2 linked regions of the Coturnix japonica genome follow. The protein of the gene in region 1 binds, or shares a complex with, the protein of each later gene. Links are inferred from orthologs where the notes say so. Each region holds a gene or a part of one and is shown in the gene's direction. Other genes may lie near its edges. The genes, in order: APAF1 and CASP9.

Evidence for each region.
Region 2: the proteins of APAF1 (region 1) and CASP9 are in contact, whole or in part, in a crystal structure (PDB 4RHW), measured with the Homo sapiens proteins. The link is inferred for Coturnix japonica from reciprocal best matches to the Homo sapiens genes APAF1 and CASP9. Residues at the interface, in NP_863651.1 of Homo sapiens: Thr22, Ser23, Tyr24, Met26, Asp27, Ile30, Ser31, Ile37, Glu40, Glu41, Arg44; in NP_001220.2 of Homo sapiens: Asp23, Trp26, Asp27, Leu30, Arg36, Pro37, His38, Glu41, Gln44, Arg45.

What each region holds. Positions count from the first base shown.
Region 1 is NC_029516.1:42,519,961-42,531,675, forward strand, and holds part of APAF1 (apoptotic protease-activating factor 1), read left to right. Parts: intron 1-66; coding exon 67-245; intron 246-953; coding exon 954-1,080; intron 1,081-1,643; coding exon of another isoform or gene 1,644-1,709; exon of another isoform or gene 1,710-1,735; intron 1,736-3,073; coding exon 3,074-3,199; intron 3,200-4,037; coding exon 4,038-4,169; intron 4,170-5,432; coding exon 5,433-5,558; intron 5,559-6,521; coding exon 6,522-6,683; intron 6,684-6,956; coding exon 6,957-7,085; intron 7,086-7,834; coding exon 7,835-7,960; intron 7,961-8,772; coding exon 8,773-8,892; intron 8,893-9,767; coding exon 9,768-9,893; intron 9,894-10,729; coding exon 10,730-10,855; intron 10,856-11,715. UniProt on the Homo sapiens protein: Oligomeric Apaf-1 mediates the cytochrome c-dependent autocatalytic activation of pro-caspase-9 (Apaf-3), leading to the activation of caspase-3 and apoptosis. This activation requires ATP. Isoform 6 is less effective in inducing apoptosis.
Region 2 is NC_029536.1:4,283,138-4,295,479, forward strand, and holds CASP9 (caspase-9), read left to right. Parts: upstream 1-1,361; 5' UTR 1,362-1,402; coding exon 1,403-1,534; intron 1,535-2,544; coding exon 2,545-2,758; intron 2,759-3,238; coding exon 3,239-3,319; intron 3,320-3,694; coding exon 3,695-3,726; intron 3,727-4,536; coding exon 4,537-4,713; intron 4,714-4,953; coding exon 4,954-5,043; intron 5,044-5,658; coding exon 5,659-5,806; intron 5,807-6,286; coding exon 6,287-6,466; intron 6,467-6,663; coding exon 6,664-6,773; intron 6,774-6,924; coding exon 6,925-7,017; 3' UTR 7,018-7,988; downstream 7,989-12,342. Other genes in the region: DNAJC16 (dnaJ homolog subfamily C member 16), read right to left, coding at 205-535, 1,005-1,071, 1,144-1,307; EFHD2 (EF-hand domain-containing protein D2), read right to left, coding at 10,538-10,672, 10,775-10,909, 10,999-11,146. UniProt on the Homo sapiens protein: Involved in the activation cascade of caspases responsible for apoptosis execution. Binding of caspase-9 to Apaf-1 leads to activation of the protease which then cleaves and activates effector caspases caspase-3 (CASP3) or caspase-7 (CASP7).

The sequences.
Region 1 (11,715 bases):
AGCAAAGGGCACTTAGAAAATGTATCCACTTCACTAATTATCAAACACTGTCTGCTCTGTACATAGGATACCATAATACGTGAGAATTTTCAGGAATTTCTGTCTTTAAATGGGCACCTCCTTGGACGACAGCCTTTTCCTGACATTACACAGCTGGGTCTTTGCCAACCAGAGGCATCTGAGGTGTATCAACAAGCCAAGCTACGGGCTCAAAGAGAAACGGGAACATTTTACTTGGAATGGATGTAAGTAGCAATAATCCATTTGCTGATGTTTATCCCTTGATTCAACAAAATTGTTGCATACGCAACTAAACACCGCAGTGGGTAATAAAAATGTGCTATGTTTTTAACGGGAAAAGAAAGTGAACTAATTTTCAGGAGCTAATGAAAGAAAAAACAAACATGTAAAGCTACAAATTAGTAATAATTTCATAGAAATGAAGAAATATATTTACTTCTCAGTGAACATTCATTTTAAATATCTACACAAAGGTGAAAATGCGGTATTTTGAAACTTTATAATTTTTTAGAAAGATGAGAATTGTAGGGCAAATATAATGTGCATGATGCAAACTTGAAAGAGAGCACATAGGAGATCACAGCTTCAGAAAGAAGTCTGTTTGGACATGACAGATACCAGCTCATTAAGATGTTATTAGGAAGACTGTTTTGCTTTACAGTGGCTGTGCACATGAGGTGGCACGTTGGTTTCTTATGCACATTGTATCTTTCTTGGTTTCTAAGCTCTCAGCTGTTGGAGAGCACCATAAATTCTCAGTGAACTTAGGAATTGGTTTCCCTTATTTTTCATGAAGGCTGACAGATAATTTGATGTTTCAAAAGCTTGCTGCACAAAATAGATGAACAAATGCTATATTTTAAAGAGCATTTTGAATGATTAAAGATGCTGGGAGATCCTACTCCTCACAAATGAACTATCTTCTCCTGCAGAAATAAAAAATCCTTGAAAAACCTGTCCCGTCTGGTTGTTCGTCCACATAGAGATGCAGTTTACCATGCCTGCTTTTCTAGGGATAGACAAAGAATAGCATCATGTGGAGCTGATAAAACACTTCAGGTAAAAGTACCTACCTATGCATCAGCAAAGTATAATGCTGTGTGAAGTTTTGATGATGTTTGTTAATGATGCTCTTGCTTTCCTTTTGCTGTGAAGATATTAGAAATCTTGAATTATATTCAAGAGACAAGAGATAGAAAGGGTGTTACATAACACTTTTAGGCTCGAAAGTATTGTTTTGTAGTTCAATAACTATATCATTATACCATAGCATGAGAACATGCTATGAACACGAGAACATGAGATTCCTTTTAATGTTACAAAAAAGCATAAGGTTTAAGTAGTGCGTCCCACGTTTCACATTTGTTTGCAGAAATGGTATTTCCCATCTACAGTACTAAAAAACAGTGAGACATGTTTGTTAGTTCTTTACAATTTCCATGGGGTTTTAATGGATGTTTGGCGCTATGTTTGTTAATTTTGTCATGCAAAATAGAGAAATCTGGGCAGAAAAATGAGTCCTGAAAGCTGAGGGCAGCGGTAGACTGGAAAAAGGTATTCAGTTGTTAGGAAGTGAATATGGGGAGAGAGAGAGGAAGTGACTAATACAAATTTGCCAGCAGTCTGCCTGGAGGGAAGCCAGACAGCTCTCAGGAAAACTAGCAATCAGCCAGCCACTAACCTGGTAAAGTATCCATATTCCAGACAGCCAAAGGTAAGGGTAAAGAACAAGTTTTCTGCAAGCCTTTGGTATTGTTTTGGATGCTTGCTAAAGTAAAAGTATTAGTGGTCCTTAGTTGCTGTTCATTTGCCTGTGTAATGTGGTGGTGCTTACTACTTTCTTTTATTTGCTGGCTTTTACACTGTTATGGTCATGGCATCCACCCACTTAAGGAGATGCTTGGTGGCTGTGCTGAAGTTATTGTGCTGGGCTTCTGTACTTCATGGCTTCATTATTGGGACTGCTGATTCATTGTTTTTCTCTTGACTTTCTATCAAAAAAAGGGATTTTATTTTATTTTATTTATTTTATTTTATTTTTTTATTTTTTCCCCAGAGCCTACGCTAGAAGAGATAATACAAAAATTAACAATCATTTTTCATTGTTGAACTTTGATCTTAATCTTGTTTTTCCTAACAGTGACATTAAAATAAAACTAATGCCTTCAGATTTTAGACTAACCCAGAAGCAGAAATGACTGCCAAATTAAGAGCAGATATTCTGCAGAATTTACAGTAGATGTAGATTTCCTTTTGCTTTGTCGCTTTTATTTGAACAAATACCAACTATTTCATTATCACTGTTAATCCCATTTAATGAAAGAAGATCGGAAAAATAGGGATTTCACGACTGTAGCATCTTGAATGTTGCTGCAAAGAGCAAATTGTGATTTGTTAGAACAGCTGAAGATTGTTTACCCTTGAGCTGGAAAAGGTACCTTTCACCATCATTAAGATAAGCCCCAGAATTTAAGGAAAGTGGTTAATGTGCAGTGCTTCTTCCTTGCCACCCTTTCCTGCCTTGTAACCAGCTCAAAAGAGACTCCTAGCACCTTTACTTAATTATCAATTGCTGCTAAAATCCTTTATCCAACAGAAGGATATCGTATATATCAATCTGGAATTTGTACTTCTAATAACAGTGCAGATATTGTTAATAAGCTATTGTGTGGTGAAGTTATTAAAGTAGAGTAAGAAAGTACATGTATTTAGTCTTAAGGAGTACAAAAGTCTTATGTGGTAGAAGGCCTAGCTTTTGGCTCAAAGGTTATACATAGTCATTAATAAAACACATAATGCATACGGATTTTTTTTAAATTAGTTTTCACTATTTCTTTCCATAATAATTTCTATCATCTCTATAGATTTGAAGTTCAAATTAAATGTTTTCATATTACTTTCCTTGAAATTATACGTGCTTTCAGAATGCAAGCAGTTTTATGAAGAGTTTAGCTAAGGGAGCTCTTTGAGAGAAAGCAATCCTTTATTTGTGTAGCATGTTTTGAAGTTGTATGCCAGCTAAAAGATTTCATTCCTCATTGTATTTTTTCAGGTGTTTAAAGCAGAAAGTGGAGAGAGATTGCTGGAGATAAGTGCTCATGATGATGAAATACTTTGCTGCACTTTTTCTGCAGATGATAAATACGTAGCAACTTGTTCAGCTGATAAAAAGGTGAAGGTAAGTAAATGGAGAAGAGACTTTTTTGCTTATTTGTTTTGCATCATCATAATTCAGATTTCAGTTTTAGCCAACTCAGGCAGAGCAGATTCTTAGGACAGAAGGTTTTTAGTAACTGTTTTAAACCTTATGTGGATAATTCACTACTTTAAAAACAAAAGATCTCATACTTGTTATGTTAAGCATCATTTACTTATGTTAACAACATGCATACACAATTACAACTTATTTTACTTGTACTATCAGATGTTTCTTTTTATGTAAAACACAATACATGAGTCCAGTCCTGTGTGTAACATAAAATGAAGGTATCCATAAATGTTTTTCTTATATAGTGCTTTCTGTTGTATATTATTTTTCATTTTATTTTTAATTCTTCAGAACTGCACCAAAAATCTTGATGATATTCTAATCTTTCTCAGATCTAAACTATGATCCTCCTCATCCATTTGATATTTAAATTGTTCAAAATTATCTGTGAAATTTTCTATAATTAATAGTAGGCTGAAACTGAATTTTGACAAGAGCAAGTTGGTTTTATTTGGTTGCAGACACCTTGTTATAAGAACCTTTGGCTGTAGATGCCAGGTTCCAGTTCTTGTTTTGAAAAATGTGTATATCTACATCTCTGCTATTTTAGTGAAAACAATCTAAAATCACAGCTGTGTGTTAATAAATGTAACTACATGTGTTTTCCCTTTCTCTTCAAGCATTTTTATGTGTTATTAAGAGCATTTTTAGGGCTTTATTTGTATTCCAACGTGATTTAGAAATTTCATTTTTTATTAAGTACATTGAATTTATTTAAAGCTGATTTTTGTCCTTCAACTCTGTTTAGATCTGGAATTCAAGAACAGGCGAGTGTTTGTACGTATATGAAGAACACACAGAGCAGGTCAATTGCTGCCAGTTCAATAACAGAAGGGGTCAGTATCTTTTAGCCACCTGCTCAGATGACACTTACATCAAAGTAAGTTGAAAAGGCTGTGATAAGCAGTATGGGAATAATCAAAACAGAGTAATTACTGTTGTAGAAATATGCTTCAAACTCTGTAAATTAAGGTTTATAATGAGTCCAGTGGAAGAGAGACAGAAACTGATCAAGAGTACTGACAGGGCAGAACGGAAGAGGAATATTTATACTTGCGATGAAAAGTCAGCATATTTCCTATTAGCTGAGCACAAAGGTGAAGACTTCTAGAGGATGGGAATAGGAATGGGAGAGCCTGGGAATGGAATACCTGATTAAAAACCGTAAAGAAATAAAAACAAACAAACAACAGCCACAAACAATACAAAAATAGGTGCCAAATGATGAAATGAATAAATAAATAACCTAATGGAAGGGGAGCAGATATATTTTCTTATTAAATTGATTTGACATAATAAAGAAATGAAAGTAGGTGCCAACAGAATAACAGTAAATCAAAGCAAAAGATTTGTCAGGTCAGCAATCTGGCAGTACTCAGACTATGAGGCAGTATGTCTACTCAGAGCAGAAGCCATGTAAGTGAAGTGTCTGCGGAAGGAGAGGAAGTGGAAGAACAAAGGAAGACCTGGCTGTGGGTAAGGGTGGAATTTCACAGCACAAGTATGTCCAGTAATAGAAAAGAACAGTAAAATAAAAATCAGAGAGGCTGGATTTCTATTTATTTTTTTCTTTTTTTTAAAGAGAACACTGTTCAGGTAACTGTTCCTGCTTTGAATTCTCCCTGAGCAGACAAGTGAAAGGTTTGGTAGCAAAAAGGCAGTATGTGCTGTAGGCCTAGAAAGTGCGTGTGTCTGTGTGTGGCCTCTAACGCACAAATTGTTCTTTTATCTTTATTAGAGAGGACACAGTAATCCAACACTGAGTTAAGAGATTTCATTTTAGTTACTGTGTACAAGCTACGTAATTCTGAACTTTGAGACTGAAAGGAAGGAAAGAGGCTAGACAAAGTTTAATCCTCACTCTGAAGAAGCCTTTGGTAACTTTGTGCTATTTGAGGTTCTTGCATTCACTTTACAGAAAGTGTTATATAATAGTCATGGGAATCATTTTCATGCAAACTAGCATATGGAAGTAATTTGTGGGGGAACCTCAGGCATAGCTTCAAGTCTGTGAGCACGTGGGTAAAACTAAGAAACATTTTTGAGAATTTGGTTGCCGCTGTGATTTTGTGAAGAACATGTACAATCTGTCTGTGAATAATTTATGAATTTAATGACATTTACATATTTATTTCTCATGCAGCTTTGGGATCTGAAGGAGAAGTATTGTAGGAATACAATGTTTGGTCATATAAACGCCGTCAGTCACTGTAGATTTTCACCAAATGATGACTATATTGCTAGCTGCTCAACAGATGGAACAGTGAAGGTACACATCTTATTTTTTTAAATCAACTGCCTGTTTGGATGATTTTTTGGGGGTATAAAATACAAAATATGGGTGAGATAATTTTGTATTTGTGTGGTCAGTTTTCATGAATTAAACTCTGAAGCAGTTGAGTATTGTTCCCACTCTTAATGCAAGGCTTGATGAAGTTCTGTCCAGTTCCAGAAGAAGAATTGAGTGGCTGCAATTTTAAACCAATCCCACTGAGTCTCATTTTGAGTGCATTCTACTATTAATAGTAATAAAAATAAAGTATATAGTTAAGAGAACTGGTGTGGAAGGTGTTCTGAAATTTGTTTAAAGAAAAATAATAATGAAAACGACAGCCAAAAAAAACCTAGAATAGTTAAAATGTCTGTCATCTGATATTGAATAAGCAATAAAAGATATTTGTGTACTGAGGTAGTTATGTTTGTCCTTAGAACACAAGCATTGCTTTTTATTGCCTTTGACTGCAACAGAACTACCTATTTCAATACTGCAATTCATAAACGCTGATACCTTTCCATGGGGCTGCTATGTCAGTAAAGTGAGGTTGTAGTATCTGTTGTCATTCAGAAGAAAAATTTTGGTAGAGGAAACAGAAATATTCAGTAGCTCTCTGGCAGCTGCCTCAATGAAATAGGGGTACAAACTTGTATCCAGTGTACCAGGTTTCTTGTTGTGAGAGGACTTAATAGAGTTGCAGAGATGTTATTTTTGCCTTTAGTCTGTTTTTAAGTAGAAGTTAAGACAACCATCTGGGCTTGCTTGTTTCTTGTTTTCCTCACTTTCTTCCCTAAAAAGAAATTGGGAAGTGGTTCTCCCCTGTTGTATTCTGTATAGAATCATAGAATTACTCAGGTTGGAAAAGACCTCAAAGATTATCACAAAGATTATCAAGTCCAACCGTATACTCAACTGTAAAGAGAAGTTTCATGTATTTCCTTTATTTTTTTCTTGAAGCTTTGGGATGTGCGTTCAGCAAATGAACTGAAAACTATTGAGATAAAAGATTTCTTCAGGAATGCAGATGAGCACCAGGATGAAGTGGAGGTTTTAGTAAAATGTTGCTCTTGGTCCAGAAGTAGTGATACAATTCTGGTGGTAGCCAAAAATAAGCTTTTGGTAAGTATTTCATGTTAATAATTCTCTACAGGTGTAGTATGTTGCCATCTAGGTAGAATTTATGAATAATTACTGCATTATAAACTACCTAGATGTTTCAGACATAAAGTGCTTGTTTTTAAGTGCATGTTTATTAAAAAATATATAGATGATAAACATGATGAATGAGAGAAATACCTTCTACATTAAAAAATGTATACTGTTAAGTATATAAACTGTGTCTGTGGTGAAGTCATTCCAGCCCTGTGCTCAATATTATAATTACTTTCACAGCTTTTTGATGTTACAACATGTAACCTGTTAACACAAGTCATCATAAGTCATCACAGTACAATCCAGTATTGCGACTTCTGTGCTGGGGATGAGTTAGTAGCAGTTGCTTTGTCTCATTGTTCTATTGAGGTAAGTGATTTCTTTATTGCTACGATATACCAGGAAAGAGTAATACAAAGTGTTATGTTTGTTGTGGTTTTGTGTACGGAGAGGTAAAACAAAGTGGCATTTTTAATAGCTTTTCAATGTGCTTTATTCTTTACAATTATTGTTTACTTCTAAGATGTAAAATAGGAATTGGGAAATAGTGTTTTGAGATTAGGCATTCCTCTTAGAAAGCAGAACTCGGTTTTATATAAAACCACTAGGCCACTGTATGTGTTCAAAGTTATCATGTGATTATTGTCAGTCTCTAGAGTATATGCCTTCCCATCACCTAGCTCAAAACAGGCAAACAAAATACCTTCTCCTGTGTGCTGCTGCAGGATGTGGCAGTTCATGAAAGAGGAATACAACAGCTGAAATAACTTTGGGACTATCATGACTAACTAAGCATGTACAAGTATTTGGGTTTTCTGTTCTTCTTTGTTTTCTCTTTTTGCAACCTACTTGGTCAGCTCACTTGTATTTTCATAATGTGTGAGTTGTTTTTTTTGTAATTCCTCCCACATCTTTTAAACTTATTGTTGTCAGAAGCTTCTGTTTCCATGTCACTGACCATCAAATTGTCATCAACAGGCACAGTTCTTTTTACATGACAGTTGTAGAGTGAGAAGTGAGGAAAATGCTAGTAGAGGTAGTAATGAAGTATGCTTCTTTTCAGTTTTGCTTGAAATATAATCAAAATCCACTTGAGTTCTTTCCTATTTCTGCTGCAGTTATGGAATATGAAATCCTTATCAAAAGTAGCAGATTGCAGGGGACACATGAGCTGGGTTCACTGTGTGGCATTTTCCTCAGATGGATCTTTATTTCTGACATCTTCTGAGGACCAGACAATACGGGTAAGATGACTTTTTTTTTTAAAGCTGGTACTGTTTATATGTGTTTATAAAGCTAAATTATTTGTTTAAATTGTTGTTATAAAGTTAAATATTCATATATAATAATATAAAGCATTTATCATTTCAGTTATAAGTATTTAGCTTTGTATTATATAAACATACAAAAATAATTCTCTATACAGTAAAATGAACTGTCTATTTTTTTTGGTTTACGATATAGATAAATAATTTTTTAAATCCAGTGGCATTTCAGTAGTAATGATAGTTTTTAGATTTTATCTAAATTAAAAATGGGAACAGTTTTGATGGTCCTTTTGTAAACTAGCAGAGTTAATATGCCTTTCACTGTTAGATAATAAATAGATAAATATGTTAATATTTAGGGCAGATTCTTATAGTTTTTAATGAGACGATACAACTACGAAAACAGACCTACAATGTACCAAAGTAACATTTCCTTCTCTCCAAGCTAACACTTACTTTCTTGATATTTTGAAAGCAATTGAAGTATAGAAATCTATACTTGGCATTTACTGTAATAGAATTTTAACACTCTTCTTTGAAACAGAAAAGTGTGGACTTCATGGTCCTGATGCCAAATACTTAGAGGTCTGCTTGGCAGCCTGGAAAAAGAATTATTTTTTTCCATCAGTTGAAATTGCTATAGCAATTGCGCAACTTTCTGTAGTAAATAAAAAGGGCACTGTTTTAAGATAGGGGTTATTTGCTAGGTTATAAGACTTTGGTTTAAAGGTACTCAGCAAGTTTTATATCTTGTCCTTTAAAACTAATGGAACACTGTTCTTCAACAGATTTGGGAAACAAACAAGGTGTGCAAGTCTTCTGATGCTGTGCTAAAAAGTGAACTGGATGTTGTATTTCACAATGGTGAAGTCATGATTTTAGCAATTTACAATCAGAAACATATTCAGGTAAGCTATATTTCTCCATGTGTTAATATATTTGAATTTATATGTAAATCTCAGTAGGAAACAAAGCACTGAAATAACTGCCTATTCGTGACTTTCAGCAGTTGAATCTGTAGCAGATGATTCTTAATATGTTGTAAGATTTTAAATCTAGGAGCTCTGCCTCATAACAGAATAGATTTTTCACCTTTGCTCATGAAGAGAAATTGACTGAAGAGTCAAACTGTAGTTAAGCATGTGTACAGTAATTCAACTGTGTCTGCTGTCATATCTCTAAAGGTAGTTTCTCCTGTGACTGTGATGTTTAACCTTTAGTGATCTGTAGTCTCTCAGAAATGCATTCCTAGTCACCTTTTGATGTGCTTTACAATCATTTTAAATGCATCACACTGGTAGATATTTTTAGCTTATAGATTTTTTGTAAATCGTTATATTCTAAAGATCTCATCAGAATTGGTGTAAGGACAACACTTGGTTGAGATTGGTGGGCTATACCTGCTTTTAAGCTTTAAGTCATGCTTACGCTCCATTTGGCACAAGTATCTCACTGGCAAGTAGTTTTGAGCTCAGAACTCACTATATGGCTTTTGAAATTCAGGAATAACTTGTTGACTTACTGTTTTATTTGATCATGCAAACTTTTAAAAGCCTTCTGAGACTGAGCTGTGTTTCTGTCTGCAATCTTGTCCTGTTCAGACAATGATCTACAGCAGGAGTTACGCAGACCTTTAAAGCAACTGATTTGTGAAAGTATCTGGTCTAGATAAACAAAAGTTTAGAAACTGACAAACTCTTCTGTTGCTGTTCCTAGCTTTTTATTCTATTTTATTTCAGTTCAAATTTTAAAATATTATGTTAATTAATTTCCTATCTTGCAGCTCATTAATGGAAATACAGACAGCATTATCATGCAGACAGAACCTCAGGAATCCCTTATTTGCTGCTGTTGCTTAAGTGAAGATCTTAAATTTGCAGCATTTGGGCAGGAGAATGGAGCAATAAAGGTATTAAATCCTAAGCTTGATCTTGAAAATAATAGGAATCAACCTTTCTTTTTAAAGAAATGTCATTTTAGTTATTCTCTCCAATAATATTCTTTGGTATGGTACTAAAAAATTTTTATGTTTGAGTGACACTGAAATGATGGTAGTTTAAAGGTAATGCTTACAATGCAGTTTTGCATTTCATTTCACCAAGGACTGATATTTGTTGTCACCATCACAGAATGACAGAATTATAGGAACTGGAAGGGATCCCTAGAGTTCATTGAGTTCAGCACCCCTGCAATGCGGCCTCCCTAGACCAGGTTGCACAATTTGACATCAAGGCAGGTGTCTCTCCAGAGGAGACTCCACAGCCTCCCTGAGTAACCTGTTCCAGTGTGCCGTCACCATTACTGTGAAGAAGTTCTTAGACACATTTGTGCAGAACTTCCTATGCTTCAGTTTGTGGCCATTTCCCCTTGTTCTATCACCACACACTGCTGAAAAGAGTCTCATCCCTTTGCCTCCCACACCTTAGATATTTATAGACATTCATCAGATCTCCTTTGAGTCTTCTTTCTCAAGGCTGGACAGACCCAGATCACCCAGCCTTTCCTTATAGGGGAGATGCTCCAGGCCCTTTATCATCTTTGTGGCCCTCCACTGGACTCTTTCCAGGAGATCCCTGTCGTTTTTTTACCAGGTAGCCCAGAACTGGACACAAAACTCAGTCCATTGATTGAAAATGGTGTATTTACAGTCTCTTCGTATTTAAAGAGAATTTGTGTTGAGAATTTGAACTTCCTTTCCCTAAAATATGTAAAATAAATTCAATTACTGCATTTTTCTTTGTAAAGGTACTGCAGTTGTTAGATGGGAGATTTCTGGCATCCCGGGAGGCCTACAGGACATCTGTGCAGCATTGTCGATTTACCACTGATTGTCAGACTCTGATTTCAAGTGCTCATGATGCAGTCATACAGGTTTGGAAGATATTTTAAAGGGTCATATTGTACCTATTTGTAAAAATAAGTTAAAAACATTTTTTCTATTATACCTAACGTAAACTCAGTCAATGACCACTGTATATCCTGAATATGGAACCATCTTTGTTCCATGCATTTTGAATTGATTTTATGTTGCATTAGGGTAAGTTGGCATCCTTGATTCTACTGCTGCTTTGATTTCTGCTATCCTATTTATCTAATTTGCAAGTGTTACAATATCAAGTAACTTGTTGCAAAGAAACCGTAAATAAGAAGTTACTGTTTTTTGTCTGGATGTCCTCAAGTGGGATGCAGCAAATTAAAGCACCAGATGGAGAAAAGGGGCTGTAGAATCTGTAGGCCATTATTTATATTCCATAGAATAGTGAATATTATGGAGTTCTAATGCAGTACATGATAGAACCAACTCTTTTCAGATGGATGAAAAGAAATACTAATTTTCTTTGAGAATAACTCAACAGTCCTGATCATGTGAGTTTGGGATGCAATTCAGCACTGGCCAGCTATGGACTTGTCTGTACTGTGTAAGGGAATAGAACTGAAACACTTGAGTGGGCTGCTGTGTCTACCTAGTCCAATACAGAGCTGAACACAGATACTTGCAAGAAGGTTGCACTGACATAGTCTCAAGTTAATAAGCACTCCTTCTTGGCAAGGTTGATTGGCTGTAGAGAAGCATCATTGTGTGTGTAGCATTTTAGCTCATCAAGGAATGCACTTTGAAGTGAATGTCCTGGTCATTTATACTTTAGTATGTACTTCAGTTTTCACTGCACGGCAGTTGCCTCATTACTGTTCTTTCTTTGACGCAGAAAACCTATTTGAAAACCAGTTAA
Region 2 (12,342 bases), on another chromosome or scaffold:
GGGGGTGAACAACAGTGAAACCACCAGGAGCTGAAACTGTGAGTCAGAAGGAAAGCCTTGTTTATAATGCTTAGCCTCACTGATTTAGTTCTTACTAACACACAAGAGAGTGTTAACCTTGTGACCTAAACTCTGAGTCCTTCTATGGACCAGAACCTCATTCTGCAAGGAAATTCATGCTCAGCCCCAATGCTTCATCCTTACCCAGTGCCTCCAGTTCCTGAGCAACTTCCTTCCACACGGGCTCGATGTGGATGCAGCTGAAGCACCAATCCGAGGTGATTTTAATGAGGTACGGCTTCTTGAAACTATCTGGCACGATTTCATTGATGTAATGTGAAAAATGGAGCAAATACTTCTCGTCTGAGGTGTCACGTCTCTCTGAATTGAAGGGGAAGTGGAAGAAGGACTCATCAAAGTAGAAACCCTCATGGAAGTGGTGGAACTGGCGCTGCTGGTGTTGGGAATAGCCTTGGCTCTCTCCGGCATCTCCGTAGCGATCAAAGTTTGCTCTTTTTTCCTCGTTGGAGAGAATCTAGGAAGGAAATGAGTGAAGAAAGGTAACCCAGTGCAAAGAGTGAAAGGGTGACAGTGGTTATCCCTTAAGGAATGGATGTGGGAATACAAACCCACTGCAATCACAGAATCACAGAACTGTAGGGGTTGGAAGGGACCTCTAGAGATCATCGAGTCCAACCCCCCTGCCAAAGCAGGTTCCCTACACCACATCACACAGCTCGGCGTCCAGGCGGGTCTTGAATATCTCCAGAGAAGGAGATTCCAATGCCCTTGGGATGAATGCAGTAAGTACCAGCATCCAACCTGCACCATCCTATTGCTGTCACCTGTGAGCAGAGGCCAACCCCAGCTCACCACATCCTCTATTCAGGGGTTATAGGGAGCAATGAGCTCTACCCTGAGCCTCCCCTTCCCCATCCTAATACACCCCAGCTCCCACAGCAATGCCCTCATCCCCCTCCCAGCCCCCTGCAGTGCCCTCTCACCTCGTAGGCCTTGCTGATCTGGATGAACTTATCCTCAGCTCCCGGGTCCTTGTTCTTGTCCGGGTGCCTGCAGTTGGAAGGTGGAGCCGTTACCCATTGCCGTACCCCCCCACACCCCCCAGCCCGGCCCGCTCCGTACCACTGCCGTGCCAACCGCTTGTACGCCTTCTTAATGTCGGCCTGGCTGGAGGAGCGGCCCACACCCAGCACTCGGTACGGATCCCGCTCCGGTGCGGCCTGTGCCGTGATCAGCAGCAATAACAGCACCAACATCCCGGCCGGGCCCACCCGGCCCAGCTCCATGGCGGGCACCGGCCCCGGCCTCAACCCCACACCCAGCACATCCGGCCCGCCCGCCCGCCGACACCATAGCGACGCTTCCGCCTCCGGTGGCGGCCATGGAGGAGGCCCGGCGGAGCGCACTGCGGCGGGGTCGGCTGCGGCTGGTGGAGGGACTGCGGCCTGACGTGCTATGGGGGCCTCTGCGGGAACGAGGGGTGTTCACCAGCGCGATGGTGGAGGACATGCAGGTGGGCTGGGGGTACCGAGGCCTCTCGGGTCGGTGGTGGGGCCTTGTGTCCCCTCAGAACCTCTCGTCCCCTCAGTGACGGGGTTTGGGGTATCAGCTCATTTACAGGCCCAAGGGTGTCCCCTGCCCCCACAAGGCCTTTGTCAGGCTTTGAAAGGACCCGTGTGCCCCCAATCCCAAACCTTGAGGGATCCAGCATCATCTCAGCCCTGTGACAGCACCTGGGGGGTCCCTGTGTCCCTATTACCTGTAATACCTAGTCCCTGTATTACCTCAGCCTGGTGACAGAACCCCAGTGTCATATGTATCCCATGGAGTCCTGTGTCCCCACTATACCCATGACATGGCCCAGGGTACCCTATGAGGAGAGACTTAGGGAACTGGGTCTGTTTAGCCTTGAGAAAAGAAGGCTGAGAGTGGACTTGATTCAGGTTTATAAATACCTGAGGTGTGGGAGCCATAGTGGTGAGGCTGGTCTCTTTTCAGTAATGAGTGGGGACAGGACTAGGGGTAATGGGATGAAATACAGCATAGGAAGTTCCTTAATAAGAACTTCTTTACAGTGAGGGTGACGGAGCACTGGAACAGGCTGCACAGGGAGGTGGTGGAGTCTCCTTCTCTGGAGATATTTAAGACCCGCCTGGATGCCAAGCTGTGTGATGTGGTGTAGGGAGCCTGCTTTGGCAGGGGGGTTGGACTCCATGATCTCTAGAGCTCCCTTCCAACCCCTACAATTCTGTGATTCTGTGATACCCCTGTCTCCTCCACTGTCCATCTGCCTGGTGCCCTTCCCTTTGTTTCCACCTCCGTGATACTGTTAAACTGATTGAGAAGGTTTCTCTTATCCCCATGTTGATAAGCTGGGTGTATCCCCTGGTCCACTTATCCCCCAGAACCAGCAGTTCACGTTCCCTCCTGTCTCTATCTGTGGCCAATGCTGCAGTGGAAGCATCAGAGCTGAAGGGCTCAGGGAGCATCACTGAGGTTTATCCTGCCTTCCTTCCTCTGCAGAGCGCCGGCACCCGAAGGGAACAAGCACGACAGCTGGTCATTGACCTGGAGAGCCGTGGGAAGCAGGCCTTCCCTATATTCCTCTCCATCCTGAGGGACACCGGGCACGGTGACCTGGCTGACATGCTGGATGAGGGGTGCGGAAGCCCCATGTCCCCACCTGTGGATCTGAGGCCTGTGCAGCTGGAGCTGCCTGGAGAAAGGCGTGACAAAAGTAAGTAGTGAGAACGTGGTTCTTTGCATGGTGGAGTGTAGTAGCTGGGTTCCTTCTTGCTGTAGAAAGTAGGCTGTGAAGTCCTGGTTTTGTTATCCTCTGGCACAGGTCATAGTGGTGACTGTGTGACTTTGTTAGGAGGATGTTGTGCTTTCTGGTAGCAGAAGTGTTGAAGCCCCAGTTGTGCACTGGCGGCTTCCTTCTGCTTTTCACATGTAGCCTTTGTACTGCTGCACTGCAAACAGGTTTCAGTGTGGCTTTGCTACTCCTGTTCTGCCCTTTATCTGTTGGCGTGGCTCATACAGCTGTCATAAGAAACCTCACTGAACTCAGATAAAAGAAAAACAGAAGTGGTTTTGATCTGCCCTTGCAGTGGTGTAGCTGCAAGCTGTGGTCCTTAAGGGGAACAAGAGCTGCTTAATTCCAATGTAAAACTAGAAGGGGCAGAAGGAGAGAGATGACTTTCCCATGCCATTACAGGTGTGAGAACTACGGAATACTTGTCCATCCCAGTCCAAGCTGAGAGTGAGAGATTTCGGATGCCTCCAGCACCAGCCCAGGGTAAGGGTTGTCCTGCAGCCCTGAGTGAGGTCTGACAGCTCGTTGGTCAGTTCCTTGCTTGTCCTTGCACTGTGAATTGCAGACCAGTTCAGATGCATGCTAGCTGGGAGGTGACCCCAACTAAATAGTGTATGGTGTCCCAGGTGGGGATGAGCGTGTGCTTGAGGTCCAGGCTCTAACTGCTGAGACTCTTTGTGGTTTAAGAGATAAGAGCCAAATGCTGCTTCTGGTGGGTGATGGGGTGAGAAGGGGTGGGTGTCACTCACGTGTGACAGATGACAGGGCAAGGTTGATGTTAGTTCTGCGAAGAATAGGTGTAACATTTCATTGTTGAGTGCTGAGAGCTAAATCCCATTTCTCTGTGGTGTGTTGTAGGTTCAGCTGTTGACAAGAGCGACCACAGACTGGTTAGTATTCTAAATCCTCTTCTTTTCCAGTTTATTTGTCATAGTATTGGGGTTCTTTGCTGCCAGTCATTTCAGAGATTCTGCTTGCAAGGAGCTTGTGCTTTAAGAACTGAAAAGGCAGAGCAAGGCTGAAGATATTTAAGTGTTCACCCTCACGAGGCAAAGAACAGAATGTCCAAAATAAGGTCTTAGTGTGGCTTAAACTTCTTCTTAGACTGAAGAAGTCCCACAGCACAGAGCTGCTGCAGCTGGGAACAGTGCTGTGACATCCAGTCCTTGGTGCTGGGGCTGACGTGGCTGTAACCAGGGCAGTGTGCTCAGAGTGGGTCAATCCATTAGTCAGCTCCTCCTTGGGATCACACGAACCGTGCTGCAAATAACATGACATGGAGCTAAATATGGTGCTTAAGCACTTTCAAGTAAGACAGCTAGTGATTTCCTCAGGCACCAAGTCGTGTGTTGTTTATCAAGTGGTGTTTTGACTTTGTAATCACTGTGTTGGGTAACAGAAGTAGGGAAAGCAACAGTAAACATGTGCTGCAGCTTTTGCACGTTAGGAGGCTCACAGTGAAGCAGGCATTGAGCATTCAGAAACGTGTGTGCTGCCATCCTGACAGCACAGCTCGTACCTGAGGCAGGGTAGGGTGAGTGGCTGTGTTCACATGGCTGGGGTTTGGAGGGCCCTCCCAGAATTAACGTGTTGGAGTTGATGCTAAATCTGACGTATGCGTCCCACCGCACTAGATGGTGAATGCTCTGTGTTAGGAGGTGTTCAGTTGGGACTGATGAGCTCCCCTTGTTGCATGCCAGGTGTACCAGCTGCGAGCAGACCCTTGTGGGCACTGCCTGATCTTCAACAACGTCAGCTTCAGCCCAGACTCCAATCTGTCACCTCGGGCTGGCTCTGACATAGACTGTGAGAAGCTGGAGAAGCGTTTCAGGTCCTTGTGCTTCAATGTCCAGACCCTGAGGAACCTCAAAGCTCAGGTGAGGGTGGCAGGAGGAGGACCTGGTACTCCTTGAGCTGAACTGTGATTCCTTGATGTGATGCATAGGGATGATGTGAGTCTTACTCTGTGCCAATGGGTTTTGTGGTCTGTATGTGGGATGCCTGATATTGTATTTTTACTAGGCAGAAAGCAGCAGAGATCCAACTGGGTCTGACGGCAGGGCTTGGCTGTAATCTGTGGCCAGTGTGCAGTTTAAAACATGATGTTTTTTATGTAGGAAATTGATCTGGAGCTGCGGAAGCTGGCACGGCTCGACCACAGTGCCCTGGACTGCTGCCTTGTGGTCATCCTCTCCCATGGCTGCCAGGTGGGTTTGTGCTCCTCTGACATCATGGGGAATTCTTATCCTGTATCTGGGTGAAAGCAGACACAGGGTTCTCTGCTGCAATGCCTTTCCAGGGGTTGGTGGCCTTTGGTCAATCGTTGTTAGCTTTTGAATGTGGGATCTGTACCTCAGAACCAAGTGGTGTGCAAAGAGCAGAAGGAGGTGGTGCTGACCTTCATACTGTAGGACTTGAGTGCTTCCTGATTCTCTGGCTCTGCCTGAGGAGTCGTTAGCCACGACTAAGACTAATGATTACGAGATTTTGGCCTTGAGGTTGGAGGAGAAGAGATAAATCGTTCTAAAAGGGTTGTATGTTGTGTGCCCCTTGTCCTGGAGGATAAAGAATCCCGTTACTGGAGGAGGTGGAACAGGAGTTGGATCTTATTGAGAGGTTGGATTCTTGGATATTGCAGTGTCTGCTGGGAACCCCTTTGCCCTGCTGCAGTGTGCATATACAAGTATGAGGAAGTGAGATTTGATCTGGAAGCTTTATGCTAGAAAGTGATGGGAGAGAGAGAGAACACTCGTGCAGAGCTGGGTTCCCTCTGAGCTCGTCTTTCCTTCTGTGTTAACAGCTCTTGGATTTTCCTCTTCCAGACAAGCCATATTCAGTTTCCTGGAGGGATTTATGGAACAGATGGCAAAACCATTCCAATTGAAAAGATTGTGAACTATTTCAATGGGTCCCAGTGCCCGAGTTTGAGAGGAAAACCCAAACTCTTCTTCATCCAGGCCTGTGGAGGAGGTGAATCTTTGTGTTGCCAATAAGCTGTTAGGTGTGAGCAGGCTGGTTAGAACACAGTTAGGCTTTGCCTTCTTCCTTTTGTGTCTGTTGCCCTTTTATCCAGGTGTCTTGTAGCATTCCCAACCACATATTCTTACTGCTAACATGGGTTGAGTTTCAGGAGCATCTTGCAGGAGGGCAGCACGGGTGGTTTCGTTGTGCAGAGTGGGGGATGTGAGGTGGGAGGAGGGCAGTAGTGGCCCCACATCCAGGAGCATTTCACCTGTTCCTTGTGTTTAGCAATGGTTTGGGTTGGAAGGAACCTCTAGATGTTGGTTGGGAGGGCTTGGTTAGTGGGGAGCCTGATGGCTCTGACTGTAGCAGCACCATCAGAGAGCAGAAAAGCGTGGCCTTTGTTGAAGGACTTTTTCCCCTACAGTTGTTAATAGAGGATGTATGGCTGCAGAGAGTGTCAGATGTGAGTGAGAGCTTCTCTTGCAGAACAAAAGGACCAAGGATTCGAGGTGGATTTTGAATCACCCCGAGATGAAACCTGCCAAGGTTCCATAGAGTCGGATGCGATTCCTTTCCAGGCTCCATCAGGGAGTGTGGATGAGCTGGATGCTGTCGCCAGTTTGCCCACTCCTGGTGACATCTTGGTGTCCTACTCAACTTTTCCAGGTGAGATAACTGCACCAGGCAAACGTTTTACACAGGTAATTGATGCTAAACATGCTTGGCCAACACACCACCAAGCTGCTGTGCCACCAGTAGTCAGTGTCTGCTACTAAATCTAGGGGCAACCACCTTTTGGAGACAGTGTGAGATGCAGACACAGCAAGACTGTCTGCAAGAGTAATTTTCTCCTTTCTCTGAAGGTTTTGTGTCCTGGAGGGACAGGGTGAGTGGCTCATGGTATGTGGAAACCCTGGACAGCGTGCTGGAATGTTATGCCAGTTCTGAAGACCTGCTAACCATGTTAGTTCGGGTAAATGTCTTTTTTTTTCTTCATAAACCTTATTTTTTTTGTAGTGTTAGAAAGCAAGGAAGGCAATAATCAGAGGTGCCATCTGTCAGGGTAGGCAGGCAGTTTGTAAAGGGTTGTGATACTGAGCACGCAGCACACCTTCTGTTCCTAGGTATCAGACATCGTGTCCACCAAGGGGAAGTACAAGCAGATCCCGGGCTGTTTCAACTTCCTACGTAAGAAGTTCTTCTTCCTGTGCAAATGATGCTGGGGGTGTCGAGGTCCCCATCAACGTGAGGATTGTTTCCCTGTGGCTGGATGGAAGCTGTCCCTGCTGTGACTTGAACCAGCTGCTCCTGGTGGCTGTGGAGGGGTCTGTCCTGAGAAATGCAAGCTGTGAGTGCTGTCACTGGGCTGAAGTAGCCATAAGATGAGGACTGGCCTTGTCCCAACCTGCAGGGACAATCTATTGTAGGGAACATGCTTTAGCAGGTGGGTTGGGCTTGATGCTCTCCAGAGGTGCCTGACCAACCCCTATGATTCTGTCCCAGTGATAGGAAAGGGGAAGGGATGTGTGTTGGAATCCCCATTGCCAGAGTGTGCCGGCCCAGTGATCCCATTGTGGAGTGAGGGCCTCCCGCTGTGCTGTGGCTTTGCTCTCCTTCCTGGTGCGACTGCAGCGGATTGGAGGAGTCAGTGGAATTAATTGATGGAATTAATTGATGGAATCAATGGAAATAGCTGATTTGTGCAACAAGAGATTTTTCTGTTTGATTGAAACAAAAATCAAAAGGAAAAAACCAAATTCAAACCCTTTTGTTTTGTACTCAGTCTTCTGTTCTCTCTCGTGTCCTTTTTCAGTATATACATATTGTTAGCTCTAAAACAGCCTTGTTGCATTGTCACTATGACCTTCATGTATGCAGTACCCCATATATAGAGCTATAGAATATAGATGGAAAACACCTTTGGGCATTCAAACTAGAAAGTTAGGACACGTTTTAATGTTTATTGGCTGTAGATGTGGCACTGAGGGACGTGGAGGGGGTGGGTTAGGGTTGGGCTTGGTAATCTAGGAAGGACATCCCAGGTTCTGTACAGTTATTCAGCACTTTGGCTGCTAGCTGGTTTCCCTTTGGAAGGTGTTATTTGTGAGTTAGTCAGTGAATGATGTTTATGCAACTGCTGTTTTTCTAATACGCGGAGCAGTAAATGTTTCTGTCAGTCTTGTCAATAGCACAAATGCCTGTCCTGTCCTTCACCCGAATTGCAGCCCACATTGCTGGCGCACTGTAAATTAAAGAGTCTTTCCAATGTAGGAAAGATTAAAGAAATACAGAGTGTGGGCTCAGAGCCCCGGGGGCTCATCCCACTCCAGTGGAAGGGCCCTGGCTCCGCCACGTGCCCCCCCTTATGCCCCACAAATAACCACAGGGGCACACGATGCCAGTTGTTTCCCTTTATTGCACACCACGATACGTGACCTGCTCTGCTCATCCTCAGTTCTCATTGATTTTCTGCCAAAGACAAAGGGGTGAGACAGTGGTCAGACCTGCACGTGGAGAAGGACGGGGAGAACCCAACCCCAGAGCTCTGCTCTTACCTCGTTGATCCAATCGATGTAGGCAGACACCCGTGTGAACACTGTTGGTTTCTTGGCTGTGTTGCAGCCCCAGGAGGAGCCAAAGCTGACGATGCCGTGCACCTCCCACAGGCCATTGCGTTGGCAGCTCAGGGGGCCGCCCGAATCCCCCTGCCCAGACAGTGTTACATCCATACACCCCACAGCTCCCCATCTCCATCCTTCCAACCCCACCACAGCCATTGGGGATGGCCAGCAGCCCCATCACTCACGTTGCATCCCGCGACGACGCCGTCACCGCCAGCACACACCATGGAGGTCCTCACCAGGCCGCCCCACCAGTCGCTTTGTGAGCAGGTCTCGTGGTCCACCACGGGCAGCCGAGCCTGCTGCAGGACCTCCGCCAGCGGCCCATTAGCTGCAATGACAGCCTCAAGTTGCACCAATAACCAATTCTGACCCCATTCAGTTCCCTCTGTGGTCACCCTGCTTACTCGAGAGGCGTCCCCAGCCAGTGATCTCGCAAGGGTAGCCGTTCTCCAGCTCCAGCCCATTGGGTGGCAGGCAGGCAGCCTGGATGGTGTCACTCCTTTGCACTGGCTGCGACAACTTGATCAATGCGATGTCATTGCTGCAATGACAAAACCCTATAGGACACAGCCAGCCAAACCTTATAGAGCACCAACAATCAAACCCCATGGAGTGCCACCAACCATATCCTTTAGAGTCACTGCCATCCAAACCCAATGGAGAGCCACCAACCTAAGACTGTAGAGAACCACCAACCAAACCCCATAGAGAGCCACCAACCAAATCTTATAGAACACTGCCAACCATCCCCATCCCTGCCCCCCACCCCTCTCCCTGCCCCCTTTGCTGCCCTACATGATGAGGAAGGAGTTCCACTTCTCGTGCACGATGATCTTCTCCACCTCGGCCACCACCGCGCCGTCGTCCTCCACTTCCAGGTTGTGCTCGCCCAGCACCACGCGGTACGTCAGGGAGGAGCTGCCAATGGCCATCAGTGTGGGGCACACATATGGGGTGCTGTCCCCCCATGGGTTGCCCCCAACCCTACCTGATACAGTGTGCGGCCGTCAGCACCCAACTGGGGGCAATGAGGGTCCCTCCACAGGTGTGGCTCCAGGCACCATTACGGCTGTACTGCAGTGAGATCTGGACGGCCACACGGTGTCACGACGTGGTGGCCACCCGTCCCCAATGCCACCAACATTGGGATGGACCCCACATGGCACATAGACCCCCCTGACCTACCTGCCATGGCCAGCTGTGAGCACGGGCGTCCTCACCACCCACCACACGAGCTAACAGAGGTGGCACCGCTGGCTGCCCACATCCATAGGCTGTGTGACACCCAGCATGGGGACATCAGCATGGGCACAGCCCCCAGCCCCACCAACACCCCCCTCTCCGTGCCCTCACCCACCGTAGCCCAGCAGGACGGCGAGACACACAGCCCCCAGCATGGTTATAGGCTCCTCAATGTGGCAGAACCAAAGAGCCCGCTGTCTTATATGTTGGTTGTGCCACCTCCTGCCCTTGGGCACGTGGCCTTCCCCTTGGTGACAGGTGGCCAAATCCCACAGCCTGTGTGCCCTCCTTGTGCTGTTTCTTATCAGAGCAGCACAGCCCACTTGGGAACAGATACACTTGTCCCATGTACAACCCCACAGATGTGGCCCTGACCGTGTTTCCAGCCATGAAGGGACATGGGGGTCCCACTTTGCCACCCCACCTGGGTACGGGTGAGCACAACACTTCCTTAGGAAATATAATATTTATTTGGGATTTAAAAAGAAAGAAAAAGAAAACGACACAGCGAACAACACATCCATACAGCAGAATGGAAGCAGCTGTTGGGACAACACCTCGGTGGGACATCACAGTCATCGGCACAACCACTCCAGGAGGGACAGCACATCAGATACCATCCCTTGGGGTGCTTAGAGGACGGGACACACAAGAAATAAAGCTTCTCTCCCCTCGGTGGCCTTTATGGGCATCTTTCACCATGATAAACCCAAGGGGAGCCAAGGCCACCTCCAACCCAACACATTGGGCGCCTGCCTGCTCCGTGGCACCGAGCACAGTGACTGCTGCCCCCGGCTTGGCACGAGTCGTGGGCACGATGACACGCAGGGGACGGGTGATGGCGTGGTGGGGCTCCTTCCTCATGCCACAGTCACTGAGCAAACGCTGACTGCAGCTCCTTGAAGGCCGCCTTGCGCTGCTTCATCTCCTCCGCCTGCCGCCTCTTCTCCTCCTGCTCTGCACGGATCTCCTCCTCAAAGCTGCTGCCCTTGGTGACCGCCTGTGCCTGGGGATGGTGGCACGTTGTCACCCCATTGTGTGCTGTATGGTGGCACGTTGGCCATGTCCCCACCGCCCGACGGTCACTGCTGTGCCACCCAGCACTTACCTTGGCCTCGAAGAAGCTCTTGGCTCCCTTCACGCCCTCTGTTGAGACGTCGATCTCGGAGAGCCGTGCCAGAGCGTGCAGCCCGCTGTCCTCCTGCAGCTCACCCGCTGCTGCCTTGCGGAATATCAGCAGGAACTGCAGCATGGGGTGGGATATCACCATCCAGGATGTGCCATCCAGCTCCTCACCAAAGGATGAAGCCACAACCCAACCCCTGCGCTCACCTCGCGGAAGCTCAGCTTGCTGTCCAGGTCCTCATCCACCTCCTTGATCATGTTCTTCAGGCCCAGGTGGGTCTGTGGCGCTCCCAGCTTCTCCATCATCAGTTTCAGCTCCATCAGGTCAATGAAACCATCCTTCCCTGCATCGTACCTGTAAGGAGGTGGTAAATCCTCAACACAGGGCACATCCTCACTGTCACTTTGGGCTGCTGTGCCAAACCACAGCTGGTTCTATCCAACCATTAATGGTTCCCAGGAGCATCCTCAGCACTCCCTGCCCATTGAATGTGGTTTCTGGCACTGATACCCAGCAGCTTGCTGCCAAACATGCCGCCAACTCCGTACAGCAAAGGGGTCAGCCCTATATGTGCCTATAGGGCTGAGCCAGGCTCTATATGATGCACTTTTGACTTCTCCTTGCTCAGGCTGCAGGAAGCGACGTGCAGCTCTGCGGGGCTGTGACTCATTTGTCCCCGCAGCCGCAGCACGGTGCAGCTCACACTGTGCCCCAGCACAGAACCCTCGTGCTTTTCCTGCTGGCATCGTAATGCTGTGAGCTCCGCTGCTGCAAAGTGAGCCCCTGGCTGCAGCTCTGCATCCACTGGGGTGGGCTCTCCTGCGTCGCAATCCTTTAATGCAGCAGGGGAAGGCAGGAGAGAGGACAAACCTTGCACGCAGCGGCTTGGTTCAGCCCCACACCATCACCCCATCCCCATGCTCCCCCCTTTGCGACCCCCCTTTTGCTTGCAGCCCTGCAGCTGCTGTGCTGCTCCTCTCGCTGCTGTGCGTGCGTGTGTGCACGTCCTGCTCTGCAGCCAGACCCCGTGCTGCTGCCATCTGCCCACGGGCACAGCACCCACGGCCACACGCTTCACAGTGTGTCAGGCTGGGGGGAGAGGGGTTTATCCCCTCCATCTGCAGACCCTATTTTCCCCCTGCACAGTTACTGCTGCTCAGCTCCCCCCCATCTGGCTGAGCTCACTAACCCAAGCTTGCAACATCACACGTGGGGATGGCACCGAGGACGTGACAACACCACTGCCGCAGCCCAAAGCCCGTATGCATGGCCAAGGTGGGGGTCCTGGGGCTGGGGGGGTCCCATGTCCCTTTTCCAGCCTGCTCTGTGGGTCCTGGTGTCCCCTCTGCAAGGCTGTGGGGAGGCTGCATCCAGGGGAACCCTTCTGAAAGAGTTCGTAGGGTGGGAGGATGGCTGCAAGGAGCCGAGAGGGGGTCCTGAGGTTCAGCTCTTGTGCAGAACTGGGTGAGACAAGGGGGGGATCCCATGGATTCCTTCCACAGGGAGCCAAGAGGGGGGTCCCGAGTGGAGCCCCCTGCAAGGAAATGGGG